Linked DNA regions of Sus scrofa. The protein of the gene in region 1 interacts with the protein of each later gene in a biochemical or structural test. Links are inferred from orthologs where the notes say so. Each region holds a gene or a part of one and is shown on either strand. Other genes may lie near its edges.

The links. The genes of interacting proteins can lie anywhere in the genome.
Region 2: the proteins of NPPA (region 1) and NPR2 form a complex in vitro, tested with the Homo sapiens proteins (3 studies listed by BioGRID). The link is inferred for Sus scrofa from reciprocal best matches to the Homo sapiens genes NPPA and NPR2.
Region 3: the proteins of NPPA (region 1) and NPR3 form a complex in vitro, tested with the Homo sapiens proteins (4 studies listed by BioGRID, with this or other methods). The link is inferred for Sus scrofa from reciprocal best matches to the Homo sapiens genes NPPA and NPR3.

What each region holds. Positions count from the first base shown.
Region 1 is NC_010448.4:71,918,800-71,923,407, forward strand, and holds NPPA (natriuretic peptides A), read right to left. Parts: upstream 2,547-4,608; 5' UTR 2,408-2,546; coding exon 2,288-2,407; intron 2,190-2,287; coding exon 1,863-2,189; intron 1,059-1,862; coding exon 1,047-1,058; 3' UTR 758-1,046; downstream 1-757.
Region 2 is NC_010443.5:236,507,276-236,512,401, reverse strand, and holds the start of NPR2 (atrial natriuretic peptide receptor 2), read right to left. Parts: upstream 3,408-5,126; 5' UTR 2,593-3,407; coding exon 1,926-2,592; intron 1,128-1,925; coding exon 922-1,127; intron 1-921. UniProt on the Homo sapiens protein: Receptor for the C-type natriuretic peptide NPPC/CNP hormone. Has guanylate cyclase activity upon binding of its ligand. May play a role in the regulation of skeletal growth.
Region 3 is NC_010458.4:18,839,876-18,844,946, forward strand, and holds the start of NPR3 (atrial natriuretic peptide receptor 3), read left to right. Parts: upstream 1-1,664; 5' UTR 1,665-2,623; coding exon 2,624-3,374; intron 3,375-5,071. UniProt on the Homo sapiens protein: Receptor for the natriuretic peptide hormones, binding with similar affinities atrial natriuretic peptide NPPA/ANP, brain natriuretic peptide NPPB/BNP, and C-type natriuretic peptide NPPC/CNP.

The DNA of each region.
Region 1 (4,608 bases):
GGACCCAGAGTTGCCACAAGCTGAGGCATAGGGCACAGATGGAGCTGGAATCCCACGTTGCTCTGTCTGTGATGTAGGCTGGCAGCTGCAGTTCTGATTCAACCCCTAGCTTGGGAACTTCCATATGCCACAGGTGTGACTATAAAAAGAAAAAAAAAACAAAACAAAAAAGCCCTGATATTTGTAACTTTTCTTTTTCAATAAATAAGTACCCTAAATGTGAGCACATCTGAGTAAAGATAAATACCCTTTGGGTCTCCTGGGGATTTTTCAAGATCCATGGTGAGGTGGCAGTGAGCATGAAGGCAGGTTAAGAGCTGTGTTTTGAGTCCCCAAGCCCTAAACACACACACACGCAAACACCCATACACAGAGGAATGAAGGGAGCCCAAAATTGTGCAAACCCATTGAATATACACCACTAAGAATGACCTCTCTGTGAACTGTGGACATTGGGTGGCTCTGCTGTGTCAGTGCAGGTACGTCGATGGGAACATATGTCCCACTCTGGGGGGGGATGTTGATAATTGAGGAGCCCGTGCATCGGGGGTGGCCAGGGTTACATGAGAAATCTCTACTTTCTGTTCAGCTTTGCTGTGAGCATAAAATAAAACTGCACCCCAAAATAATTTTATTATTTTTTACAAAGGAGGGGGAAAGGAATTGAGCATTCTTTACTCTGAGGAAAGGTAAAATGACAAGGAATAGCAGACTAAACTCCTTTCGGGAGTTGAAAGAAATCAGACCAACCACAGCCTTCAGCGTCTGTCCGTGGTGCTGAAGTTTATTGGTTTTGAAACCAATGTCAGTTAACAGGTGACTAAAATTTAATGCAGGAGTGGGAGAGGTGGAGAAGCCGCAATGAAATCACTTTACATTTAGCCTAAAATGTGAGACATGTTGACAGGAGGCTGCCCCTTGAATCGGGTGCTCTTCACACCTCAACTTGACAGCAACGAGACAGGACAAAGATGAGAGAGAGACCCCAGGGGATGAGGGTCTCTCCAAGTCTGGCCGGGGCCTGGCTCGCCTTTTCCTCCCTGGCGTTATCTTCGGTACTACAAAGAGAACAGAAACGTGTTTGGCTTGGGGACCTGGCTCTCCTGGAAAAGTCAGCTTCACAGGACAATTCTTACTTCCTACGGTCCCCTCTCCAGCCCAACGACTGCCTGAGTTGCATGAACTGGCAAACGAATTGACATGAGGAGCTAGTAAAGTCGATCCTGGTAAATTTCCATTTTGGGGGGAATCTGACACTTTGGGGAGGAGCATAAAATGCCAATCAGCCGGAAGAAGGTGAATTTTTTAAGTTCCCAGGGCTCATGGCAAGGAACTTCTTTTTTGCCTATCATTTTCTCAGCAGGCTCTAGCTGAGGATGACGTCATTGTTCCGAGAGTCACAGAGCTCCCACCCAGCTAGCGCAGAAATTTCAAAGAGAATGTGGTTTTTTTGTTTGTTTGTTTGTTTGTTTATTTATTTTATTTTTTTTTTTTTAGTGCTGCACCAGAGGCATATGGCGGTTCCCAGGCTAGGGGTCGAATCGGAGCTATTGCCACCGGCCTGTGCCACAGCCACAGCAAGGCCAGATCTGAGGCTTGTCTATGACCTACACCACAACTCACGGCAACGCCGGATCCTTAACCCACTGAGGAAGGCCAGGGATCGAACCCACAACCTCATGGTTCCTAGTCGGATTCGTTTCCTCTGCGCCACGACGGGAACTCCCCAAAGAGAATGAGCCTTAATGCTGATCCCTCTCCTGCTGAGGGCATCCCTAGTGGTACTCTTTCACAAGGCCTGAATATCAATGAAACCCCATGTCCTTCCTCCCCGTCCCATTTCCACCCCTGGTTTCTCTTACCCGGAAGCTGTTACAGCCCAGTCCACTCTGTGCTCCAATCCTGTCCATCCTACCCCCGAAGCAGCTGGACCTCCGCAGGCTCCGAGGGGCAGCAAGCAGTGCCCTCAGCTTGCTCTTCAGAAGGGCAGATCTATCGGAAGCGTCCCAGGGGCCCCGCCCCAGGGCACCCCCATCTCTCTGGGCTGGGTTCACCTCCCCGGTCCAGGGAGGTACCTCCAAAAGGGGGCTGAGAGGGGCCCCCACTTCCTCATTCTGCTCGCTTAGTACTTGTGGGGGCATAGCCTCATCTTCTAAAGGCATCTTGTCCTCCAAGTGGTCCAGCAAATTCTTGATAAAAGGAAGAGCGGGAAAGGGAGAGATCTCACTGACGGGCACCAGGTCCCAAAGCCCCCTCACCCCAGACTGTGCCCCTTTCCTGGCCCTACCTTGAAATCCATCAGGTCTGCATTGGACACGGAGCCGTACACAGGGTTCGCTCTGGTTTGCCCTGGGAACTGAAACACCAGAACGAGGAGGAAGCTCACGGTGATGGTGGAGGAGCCCATGCTGGCGTCGGTCAGGGAGTGGTCTGCCACTTGCTCCTCTTCCCTCTCCTTTCTGGTTTCCCCCTCCTGGCTTTCGTCCGTCTCTGTCTTCCAGCTGCCCTGAGCCACCTCTTTTATAGCCCCCAGGCTCTCCGAGAGCGCAAGAGGGATGGAACCCTCCCCATTCTGTCACTTGCAGTGATAAAGCCGCTGAGTGAGGAGCCAGCAGAAGATGCCCTTTTAAAGTTATCAGTCCAGCCAGCTTGTCACAGCCCCTCCACCTTGAGCAGCCCCAACAACCCCCGGGACCCTCAGCTGCAAGAGCCACATTCTTGTTGATTTGCCTCAAGAGGTTCCCACTTCAAAGGTGTGAGAAGAGCGAAAAAGAGTCCTTGGTTATCTCCCAGCGATGCCTCGGGCTTCTTTCTCCTGGGCAACGGGACCCAGGCAGGGAAGCACAGGGTGACGGCTGGCTGGCACCCAGCTCCCCTGCTGGTTTGCGGCTCAGCTGTCAGGGGCTCCAAATAAGGGCGGGAGAGGAGGAAATGGCAGGCAGCCAGCGGCTAGGGACAAATTAGTCCAGATGCTCCAGCTGACCTCACACCTGACTCCTGGGTGGGGAGGGCAGGCCTTTCCCTCCACAGGGCTGCCCTTGCTCCCTGGCTGTCACTCTCAGCCATCAGGTGAAGACAGAGGACTTTTTTAGAGTCCTAAGTCAGCCGGAACTAAATGTGACAAATGTCCCAAGAACCCTGCTCCCAAATACAAACACCCAGAAGAGTTTGGGGAACGTGGTCATCGCTCTGCAAATCTTACCCCCGCACAGCTCCCTCCGAGGAGCTGCAGGAAATGGGCCCTGAGAGGATGCTGGCATTTGCCTTTTTTTTTTTTTTTTTTTTTTTTTTTTGGCTTTTAAGGGTCACACCTGCATCATATGGAAGTTCCCAGGCTAGGGGCTGAATCAGAACTGCAGCCGCCGACCCATAGCCACAGCAACACCAGATCTGAGCTGCATATGACCTACACCACAACTCACGGCAACAACAGGTCCTTCACCCACTGAGCAAGGCCAAGGATCAAACCCGCATCCTCATGGATAATAGCTGGGTTCGTTGCCACTGAGCCACTGTGGGAACTCTCCGGCATGTTCATCTGGAGAAGCTCAGCCTCTGGGTTTGAAGCATGGAGGGCCTCACACCTTCCAGGCAAGCTCCCAGGCAAAGTTGGCTGATGGAGTGAGGGTGGGAGACAACCAGGGTCCATGCAGTTTCCCTTAACGCCGCCCACATCCTTCTCTGAGGCTAAGAAAGCGATAAGCCCCTGAGGCCTCCATTTCCGCCCCCCCCCCAACAAGAGAAACACCAGGGGTGAGCTTGTCCACGTTTAAGGAGGGGCCTCCATTCACTGCACTCAATGCTGCACACTCTTTGATGCAACGTATCCTGGGGGCAAGCCTGCACTTGAAGGGAGGAGAGCCCAGCAGTGCAGCCCCAAACGCGGCTCCAAAGAGCTATGAATAGGTGAGCAAATTCTAAAGTGTGAATTACTATCTAATTGCATGGCGCTCACCACGGTTGTCTTTATTGGTTGGGTGGAATGTGCCAGACACTGGGCTGAGAGCTATATGTGGATTCTCTCCTTTTCATCACCAGCTCCGGGATATGGTCCCCATTCACAGAGGGACAGAACTGAGACGGAGAGGGTCTGTTCCCTGCCCAGCGTCACTCATCACCGGGCAGAACCAGGACTTGAACCCTAGGTCTGACACTGGTGTCTTTATTCTCCACCCAGTTCACAGGCCCTGCTGCCTCTTTGTAGGATGCTTCCTTAATAAGCCCTTTAGACACAGTTCCGATTAAACCCTGCCCTCATCCCGGCCCCTCGGGATGCCTCTGTGCACCTCCTCACTTTCCCCCGACCTGGGGCTGTAGCTTTGCGTGCTTGGCAAGTGTGTGAGTATGTGGACTGGCTCAGGAAAGCACCACGCCCAAGCTCTACCACCTATTCTCACACCTGACATGTCTCAGTCTATCCCGCAGAAACCCAGGAAATGCGGGTGGAATGACCAGCTCTGTCCCGGCCAGACCCTCCCCTGGCTTTGCTCACTCCCTGGTACAGTGAGAGGGCAGGGAATGGGGCACTATGTGGCCAGAGGCCACCTGGGGTGTCCAGGGATGTTCTATTCTAGAGGAGAAAGGCGCCCTCTTTGCTAACTGTTTGGG
Region 2 (5,126 bases), on another chromosome or scaffold:
CCCCCACACATGCCCACTCCTGTTTTCTCAGCTCCAGCTGCCTGGATCCTCTCTCCCACTCTAACTAGGAATACGACATCTCCCTTTCAAGTCACAATAGAGTCTTACTTCCTTTATTTATTTATGTAGTTTTTTAGGGCCGCATCCGCAGCATATGTAGGTTCCCAGGCCAGGGGTCCAATTGGAGCTGTAGCCACCAGCCTACACCACAGCCATGGCAACTCCAGATCTGAGCCGCATCTACGATCTACACCGCAGCTCATGGCAATGCTGGATCCTTAACCCACTGAGCGAGGCCGAGGATCGAACCTGAGTCCTCATGGATGCTAGTCGGGTTCCCTAACTGCTGAGCCACGACGGGAACTCCTCTCACTTCCTTGATAAAAGCCTTCCTTAAACTCAGTCCACCCTGACTCTCTCCTCTGAACCACTGAGGTTCTTAGGGTCTGCTCCAGGACACATAATCACAACCTTTCTCATACTTGCATCCAACTGTAATGCAATCATGCCTGGCCTCTCCAGAAAGGGTGGAAGCCCTCCCAGGGGCTGGGACTAGATATTCTTCTGAACTTTTCTCTCCCACAGTATATCTACTACCGCTACTGAGCAAAGTCAGTGTTTCGGGATCTTGGGAGGCAGCCTTGGCAGACACACTGAGAAAGAGGCACAAAGGTGTGGAAGTAAAAAGAATCTGAGTCTAGACTTGGAAAGTCTCAGTTTGTTTAGCTCACAATTCCTTCCTTATTGTTTCTGTGGGGTCTTGTGAGAGACAGATAATCCCCAAAGAAGCTCCTCTCCCCCCGCCCCTTCAAGCGTGGCTCAAATGATACCTGAAAAGCTTCTCTGAGGGCCTGTGAGAGACAGATAATCCCCAAAGAAGCTCCTCTCCCTCCGCCCCTTCAAGCGTGGCTCAAATGATACCTGAAAAGCTTCTCTGAGGGCCTGTGCCTGTTCCCGGGTGTGATTGTCCTGCCAGGGCCGGCCTGTGGAGCGCGTAGGGCCTGCACGAAGACTCTCCCCAAAGACGTCCAGGTAAAAGAAGACATAATCCCCGTTGGTCAGGTTCTCCCTCTGGGCCTGAAGCAGGATCTCATGCAGCATCTCCAGAGGGCCGCAGATATACACAACTGGGAGCAGGTACATGACAGAGGGGCGCTCTGAGAAAAGTATCCAGGACCCTGAACCGCCCCCTCTCTGACCATCTGCGTTTCCATCTTTAGCAAGGAACAGAAGCCCTAACTATCAACCACCCAGCAGATGTTCCCCATCCCTCCCCCTTGGAGATTCTGTCTTAAGTACCCTGGGGGCTGTATGGACCATCTGGCAAAAGTCAGAGTCGGACTCCAGACCCCAGAGGAAGGGAGCTCACCCTCAAGCCCCTCCCCTTCCCCGAGCCCTGCCTGCTGCTCCCCACCCAGCCCTCCTCGCTCCCCACTCTGCCCTGCCCTTCTCTAAGCTCAAAGGCACTGACGGCTCAGAATTTCTCTCCACATGAGCGTTACCATATTTCCCAGCCAAATCTGCGGCACCCCAAAGCCCATTCATGGAGTCCCCACTCTTTCTGTGCCACCAAGAGGGCTTAGTGGCCCAGTCTGAGAAGTCTCTGCCCAGACAGGCACACATTTTGGAGTGACCATCAGCCACATTCATGACTCCAGGACCCTCTAGATTGCTCCTCAAATTCAACCCCCCCCAATCCCACGATCTCCCCAACACAAGCTTCACCCCTCATGCTATCTTATCCCTTGTTCACATCTGCCTGAGATGTCCACAAGCCCCTAGCCCTCGCCCAGGGATTCAGTCCACATGTGCTTCCTGATCCCGACCACCACATTCAGCTCCTCGAAGCCTGTCTCCCAGCGCTGAGCTCCAGGGACACAGCGACCCTCCTCCCCTAACCCTGAAATAGCCTGGGCCACACTCACTGCGCCCGTTGGCCCGGATGAAGTGGGTGGCCTGCTCAGGGCCCCCTGGCTCACGGGCATACACCTGGTGCTGCACACTGAGGTTGCTGCCCTGCAGGGCCTCAAAGACGCCCTCGATGGTGAAGTAGTGAGGCCGGTCATCTGTGCGAGCATCCAGATACAGCAAGGCAGCACGGGCAGTCCAATTGAAGTGCCCGTGTAGCATCACTACAAACTCACCCAGCTTGGGAGCAGAGGGGCCAGTGCGCACCAGGGTACGGTAATGCTCATTCTTAGCCGAAAAACCAGAGGCCACAGCACCCGCAGTCAGCAGGGGAAGGCGCCAGTGTGAGGCAAAGCGGGCCACAGAGGCAGCGGGGTACACGCAACCGGGGCCCAACAGAAGGTCGGGGTCATGGTACAGCTTGAGGTCCACAGCGCGCAGCGGTGCCAGGTACTCAGAGCAGGCGCCATCTAGTTCAGAGCTGACAAACCGTAGGTCCACGGGCAGAGCCCGGCCCAGCGCCTCCACAGCTAGTGCCACAGCAGGACCCACCCGTGGCCAGGCCCAGGCATAGCTCAGGTTGTGTTCTGGCAGCACCACCGCCAGCGTCAGGTTCCGTGGCCCGGGAGGACGCACCCCACCTGCCAGGGCTGCCACCAACAGCAGGAGTGATGGCAGTGCCATGGGGAGAAAGCGGCAGCCCCACCACCCCCAGAACCTGGGGCCACTCTGGCCTACGGAGGAGGCACAAGCACCACCCAGCCTGGAACCTAAAGACTACCAGGAAGAGAAGCGAGGATAAGCCAGGTAGGCTGGGATACAGAAAGTGGCAGGGATGGGAGAGGAGGAGGAGATGGGAGGAACCCCAGGGACTGAGCGGGTCCACCAACCTAGGGCATGGACAGGGGAGGACTAGGAGTAGGGTGGCAGGAGGAGGGAGGGACCAAGGGGGCCTGCGACTGGGATGGGAATGGTGGGAGGTGAAGTCGGCTGATGAATCCAAAGCTGAGAAGGAAAAGGGGATCGGAGACTGGGATGGGGTGGGGGTGGGGGTGGGGGGGAGACTGGTACAAAGAGAAGGCCTGGGGGGACCCCACAGCTGAAGGGGCTAGGGGAGCAGAGAGCTGCGAAAAGGAGGACCGAGGGGACAAGGTGGGAGGGGGCCAGCGCCGCGGAAGGACTGGGACCATGGGCAGGCGGGGAGCGAAGCGAGGCCTGGGCCGGAGGGGAGGGAAAGGCAGGGGTAAATCTCCCTGTGAAGGCTTCTCCTGAAGCTCCTGCTTGGACTAACGGGCCCAGGGCGCTGGTCCCATCCGGAGCTGCGGCGGCCCCGCCCGTGTCCCAGCTCCTCTCTGCTCCGCTTCTCCTGGGCCCGGGCGGCCGGCGCAGCCCGGCGCTTCCTCCCGCCCCCGCCTGGGCCCCCGGGCGCGCCGCTCGTCCAGGTCAGGTCGCCGCGGCCCCGCCGTCTCCGCTCGCTGCGCCGGCGGCGGCCGAATGTGACTCCCGGGGCAGGCCGCCCGCCTTCCCCGCCCCCTCCCCGCGGCCCCTCCTCCTCCCTCCCGGCCCCACCCTCCGGCGCCTGCTGTCTCCCCCCACCCTCCACCCGGGGGACCGGGGACGTCCCAGATCCCAAGCCCACCCGGTGACAAGTCGGGGGGCTCCGCGCGAGGGCCTCTCAGGCCGGCGAGGTTCCGGGCGTCCCCTCACTACAAGGCCTACCCCAGTCTCCCCCAAGCCCCTGGCCCACCCCGCTCGGCTCTCCATCTCTCACCCTCCCACCAGCCCAGAGTCACTCGTCCCAGCCCCTCGCGTCTCCCACTCTTCTTAGGGTCTCCTTTCTTAACTTGCCTGAGTCCCTCCAACACTCCACAGTCTCCAGGAAGCAGTCAGGACCCACATATTTGGTATCCTCATTTGGCCTCCACCTAGGAAACCATACCACCCTCCTCATTGCCGGGAACTTCTCCCTCCTTCACCAGTAAGACTGCTCCCTGGAAGGCAGCCCCCTCCAGGACCAGGGCAGATTTTTCCTGAGTCCTTTCGAAGTCTGTGAGCCTCCTTCTTCCACAGGACCCAACCCTCCAGTCTCCCTCTTCCTGTCCCCAACCCCCAGCCCCAGCATCCTCTGAGCCCTGCCAGGTCCTCAGAGGCCACTGTAGCCCTCTGGGCTCCCACTGCACCATCTGCTCCAGGGCTGGACCCCAGAACGTCCTCTTCTGTCTTTTGCCTCCCTGCAGAGCCCCAGCTCGCACCTGATAAAAGCTCAGGGACTGAGCAGAACATATACCCCCAGCAACGGAAGCCCACGGTGTCCCCCTTGGGTTACACCCCGCTGCCTAGCTTCAAGCCTAGAAGTCTCATCCCAGACACCCCATATCTGGAGGGAGGGCTGATCTGATCTGGGAAACAGCTTGTGAGGAATGATATCATGGTGGCTGGGAGGGATTGCAGTGGGGCCTTAGGGAGTTTTCCTCAAATTGTCACAAAGGAGATACACATAAACCCATTATCCTCCCCTTGCTGAGAGCCACAGTTTGTCTCCCACTTCAAGCCACTTCTCCCAAAATCCTAGTGCCAAGAAGCTGAGAGAGTCCCTTGAGTAGAGGGAGAAAGGTGGGTGTGAGGGGAGAGGAGGGGCCTAGTTTCTCTGAGATGAAGGCGACACCTAGTAGTTGGGGGGGAAATTAAGGATGATGCCATTTTATTCTTAGGAAGGATATTTCTTTATTGAACACCCGCCGCCTTGCACAAGCTGAGGGGTGAAGACAAAAAGCTGAATGACACAGGCTTACCTTTGAAGAGCATACAACTGGAATCCCTCGGGTGCAGAGGCCCAAGGCAAGCCCTCCAACAATGTCTCTTGCTTCCAGCCCTTAGGAAAACTTAGCTCTTTCTTTAACAGACATGTAACTCCAGTTCCAGTTAGGGACACTATTAGTATAAAGAAATTCTGTCCTATCTGAGCAAGGAAAAGGAGGCTAGAACAGTCAAAAGGGTGATGAGACAATCTGAAAAGGACATGGCTCTAACTTCAGAACCAGTCAACCAAATAATAATGTTCAAGCAACTACACACAGTTTAATGAGAGAATTAAATCCAAATGACACGATCTCTGCCAAAATCACAGCATTTCAGGGCTAGGAAGACTCTTAATGTACTGTTCACTTTCAATTATTTAAAGATAACTGAAAACTGAGTACCAGAGAGGGAAGTCCATA
Region 3 (5,071 bases), on another chromosome or scaffold:
CGTAAAGGCACTGCCCTGCCTGTGACCCTGGCTGGGCAGCGCTGGGACAGGGAGAGGCTTTCACACCCGATGCCACTGAAACCCCAGACTTTCCCACTAAGCCCGCGCTACACAGTGAGCGGAATCATATCGCTGTTGGCCAGTGTTCCCCAGACACAGGGCATAGCGAGCGGTAATAGTAAACCCTGGTTTCTTCACGTCTCCTGGCAACCAGTTTCGAAATCCATTAAGACCCTTGGAATTCGGGATTTAGCTTGTTGTTCTCTCTCTCTCCCCCTCCCTTCTTCCTAGGAATTCAGGGGGGATTTAGTCGCTGTGAAGCTCTAAATCTCAATTTCCAGTGTGTGGGGGGTACCCGTTTTGGGGGGGAAATAAAATTGTATACAGATGCCTCGTGTGCTACTGGCTAGCAGGTCTAGTAACATGAATGAAGGTTTTCGCTGGAATTATAAGGTCCTACTTGAAGATTCAGGGACCACAGAGCATTATCTGAAATCTAAATGCCCCGAGGATGAAACGTTACTCAGCTACATTTACAGTGTCAGAAAGAGCGATAAGGAGGGTGATGTTAAGAGTGGCGAGCACTGATGCCTGAAGTTGCTACATCTCCGGAAACCCCAATTTACCGTTTCACCGTCACAAATGAGAGCGATGGCTCTTTGAGATCCCGGCGTTAAATAAAGCAAAACAAAACAAAACCCAAAACAAACTCAGCGCCTGGGGAGGTGGCAACCGGGGTAGACGGCGGCTGCAAGTTTCTGCCGAAAGAGGGCGTTGGTCTAAGACTAAGAGAAGTTTATGGACAAGAACGCCCAGTCAAATGAAAGACCATTTTAAAATACTTTCAATTTATTTTAATTCGCGGGACCTAAGTGGTGGAATTCACCCTTCCAAAGTAGCAGGTTCACATTGCAAATGACCTCGGTGAAATGTTAACCAGGTTCAGAGGGTCAAGTTCCTCTAGGTCCTGCCCTGCAGCGCAGCGCACTCCGGCGAGGCTCTTCTGGTCACTGACTTCTTCAAGGCCGTTTCCATCCTCGTCTCCAACACTGCTGTGGCTGGGACCAGTGGCGTGACTGGGTCTCGGACGCAGGACCTTTCTCGGCCTTGGAGAACCTAGAGCACAGGTTCTCGCGAGCCGCGGAAGAAAAGCGGTGGGATTTCCCAGCGCAAGGACTGGAGCGGAGGACGCGACTCCACCCAGGGGCCTTCGGGAAAAAGCTTTCGGAAGAAGGTCTCTTTATGTAGTTACCTGGTTTAGCAAACAAAGCCCAAGGATGCCTTGGAGATGCTTTTCAAGCCTTCTGCCACCTCCAGGCGAAAAAGTGTTCTCTCGCCTTTGGGAGCAACAAGTTTCGCTTTTCTGCTCGAAGCGCGCCAGCGGAGGTGTTCGGTGCGCGGGGAACACTGGGTGCGTGGGGAACGCTGGATGCGCCGCAGCACTTCGGCTCCGGCGCGAACCCGGGCTGCCCAGGGGGAGGAGGCCGGCGGGGGGCGGGGGAGGACGCCGGGGCTAGCAAGGCGTTCCAGGTCCGCGACCTAGACGTCTGCATCGGTGCCTTGGTCCTTGTTCCCTGACCTTGAGCCAGGGGGGCTGGGAAGGTCGACTGCCCGCCCCGAGTCGCTTCGGGAGGGAGTGTGGCTGGAGTGAGAGAGAGGTGAGAGCTTTTTTTTTTTTTTTTTGCAACGAAACCACTAATTTCTAGGACCACCCCATTCCTCTTTTTTATTTTTTTTTTTTGCACGTTATGTGTGTGCCTGCGCGCGTTTCTTTACTTTCAAACACATTTCCATTTTTAAAGGCCGGAGCTGAAGAGAGGGCTGCCGCACGCGGGGCAAGGGAGTGGCGGGGACCCTGGTGGCAGTGTGGAGCGGTGGGGGCTCCTGCTGGTGCAGACGTGGGCGACTGCGGCTTTAAGGAAAAGGCCGAGGTCTGACGGGGAGTGGGAGTTAGGGACAGGGGAGGGGTGGGAAGAGTAGGGGTGCGGGGAGGAGCCCTGATGTAAGAATGTTAATGAGAGGCTCCCCAGCCCAGCCCCCACCACTCCCCACTCCCACCCTCCCCACCGGTTGGAAATACAAGCCCAGCCTCGGCGCGCCTTGTGTGGTAACACGCTCCGCCGCTGCCACGCTATTTAAACTCGGGTTATGGATCCAGGAACCGGCGCGAATCAATGAGATCAAACGCGAGGGAGATGCACCGTCAATTACAAGCACCTGGACAAGTCTAACTTTTTCTTCTTTTACAAATACGCTTTCAAAAGAAACCTTAGCAACGCCCAAATAAGAAGCCACCTCTAAGCAAAATAGTATATATAAAGGGAGGGCGAATATATATATATATATTTATAAAAAGTATATTTATAATATAGCTGTATAGGTTTACACCCGGTGAACTTTTTCTTTTCCTTTCTTCTTTTTTCTTTTTTTTAAACGAGTGGCATTGCAAAGGAGGACTCTTCCTCTCTATCTTTTGGCGAGTTAGTGAAGGGGGTATTCTATTTTCTTAGAGCGCCCAAGGGGGCGCAGGGACCTCGGAGAGTAGAGTGGGGAGGAAAGAGGAAGGGTGGGTGGGGGGCAGAGAGCGAGTCCGCAGCGAGGGCAGGCGCTTTCCTGCGGCACGATGCCTTCCCTGCTGGTGCTCACTTTCTCCGCGTGCGTACTGCTCGACTGGGCGTTGCTGGTCGGCTGCACGGGTGGCGGTGTTGGCGGGGGCCCGGGCGGCGGGCGCCGGGAGAGAGAGGCGCTGCCGCCGCAGAAGATCGAGGTGCTGGTGCTGTTGCCCCAGGACGACTCGTACCTGTTTTCCCTGGCCCGGGTGCGGCCGGCCATCGAATATGCACTGCGCAGCGTGGAGGGAAACGGGACCGGGCGGCGGCTTCTGCCACCAGGCACTCGCTTCCAGGTGGCCTACGAAGACTCGGACTGCGGCAACCGCGCACTCTTCAGCCTGGTGGACCGCGTGGCGGCGGCGCGGGGCGCCAAGCCCGACCTCATCCTGGGGCCGGTGTGCGAGTATGCGGCTGCACCGGTAGCCCGGCTTGCGTCCCACTGGGATCTGCCCATGCTGTCAGCCGGGGCACTCGCAGCCGGCTTCCAGCATAAGGACACCGAGTACTCGCACCTCACGCGCGTGGCGCCAGCGTACGCAAAGATGGGAGAGATGATGCTTGCCCTGTTCCGTCACCACCAGTGGAGCCGCGCCGTGCTGGTTTACAGCGACGACAAGCTGGAGCGGAACTGCTTCTTCACCCTCGAGGGGGTCCATGAGGTCTTCCAGGAGGAGGGCTTGCACACGTCCGTCTACAATTTCGATGAGACCAAAGGCTTGGATCTGGACGACATCGTGCGTTACATCCAGGCCAATGAGCGAGGTGAGCAGAAGTGCGCCCCGGGGCCCCCCAGCCCTAACTCAACCACTCTGCTCGGCTCTCCCTACATGCCCCTCCGCGCCTCTGGGACCCCACTACCCTCTACGGCACTGAACACCTGGAGAGGGCGCGTGCACGGAGACTCTCCCTAGTGTGAGCTGTCTGGCTGCAGCGACCTTTGACTATCGCTCAAGGCTGTGGTGGGGTGTACGTAGAGGGTCCTGGGGACATCAAGGAGCCTGGGGGAGGGGGTGTGTGAGCCTGCAGCTCACTAGTGTCTTGGTACGACAGGTGCTGTCAAACCTCTCTGGTTGTTTCTTTTGCGCCGGGCTTGCGGTTTAGGGGCCGGCTCACTACAGGTGCCTTGCTCCAACCAGGGTCTGAAAGCGTGACGAAGCAGAAAAACTTGTTACCCGCTCCTTTTCCGAGGTGCGTCCCCTCCTAGTGAGGAAGTGTAAGCCGATGCTCTACAACCGGCGCGCGGCCAAACGGTCAGCTCCTATCTCCGGGTTTCCCTGGCTGCTGCTTCCACAGATCCCCAGCTTTCTTTTAAAGAGTCATTGCATCTCCTTTCTCATTCCTTCCATGCCCCCCCATCCCCGCGCTAGCCTTTTATGAACGGGCTTCTGTGGTTTCCACCAAAAATACCTCGCAGTGTCTGGACTCAGGCGACCCTCACTTTCCTCCGGGAGGCAGCTAGGCTTGGAGAGCGCGCGCGCTGGAGAAGTGGGGCTGAACCTCTTTTCCACGTGACTCCCCAAGTTTTCTCCGCAGGTATGTGGGGGTTTGAATAAACACCAAACTGGCCAGAGTTCAAGGCTGAGGAGAGTGGCCATGGGTAAAGGGAATGGGAGGAAAAGCAGTGGTCACGGATACATAATCAGGGAAGCGCCAGTGCGGCTCATTTTACTGCGGAGTAGATCAGCGAGAATGCGGTCGTATTCCAACATAGCACAGTCCCCTCCTTACTAATATCAGGTTTGGAGTGCACAGCGCTCGGGGAATCTGGCCTGTGCAGTTGCTTTGCGCTCAAGCTCCTGAATTGCCGGTGATGCAGACCGGCTAAAGCGCTCCAAGACCCCACGCGGGGAGACGCAGGATGAGAGAGGCCGAGCCAGGTGTGGGGCTAGCCCACGACTTGGCACGGCTGGGCACCTGGGCGCTGGCCTTGGGAGACAGTGAAACCGGAGGATGGGGGCCCAGGAACAGGTGAGAGTGGGCAAAGGCGCCGTGGGGGATGGTGCTGCGGCCACCACCCCCCTCTTCCCGATCTGGCTACCTCAAACTTGGAGTGAAAGCACTCTTTAGAGCGAAGAGATGGGGAGTGTCGACAGTGGGGTTGCATGGCCAAGTTTTGAGCTTTCGAACTCCAGGCTGTCTGCGCCGAATTCCTGCCGGCCAAGCAGGCAGGGCGGCCCCCTTCTCCGATTATGAAAAAGGGCACTTGGCACCCAAAGGCTGAGGATTTGTCACGCTGGGCGGAGAAACCCACATCCACTTCTCTCCCATTCCCAGTACCCAGATTACTGCAGACATCGGGCTGCTCTAGTCCTCGGAACCTGATTCCTCAGCACTCTGCCCTCGAGGGCCTGAAGCTAGGAGTCGGAGACTTCCCAGCTCTGGCTGGGGCTGGGGCTGGGGGTGTGTCCCCCTATCGGTGAGATCCGCGGCCAAGGCTTTTGTGCTGCCACTGCCCTGAA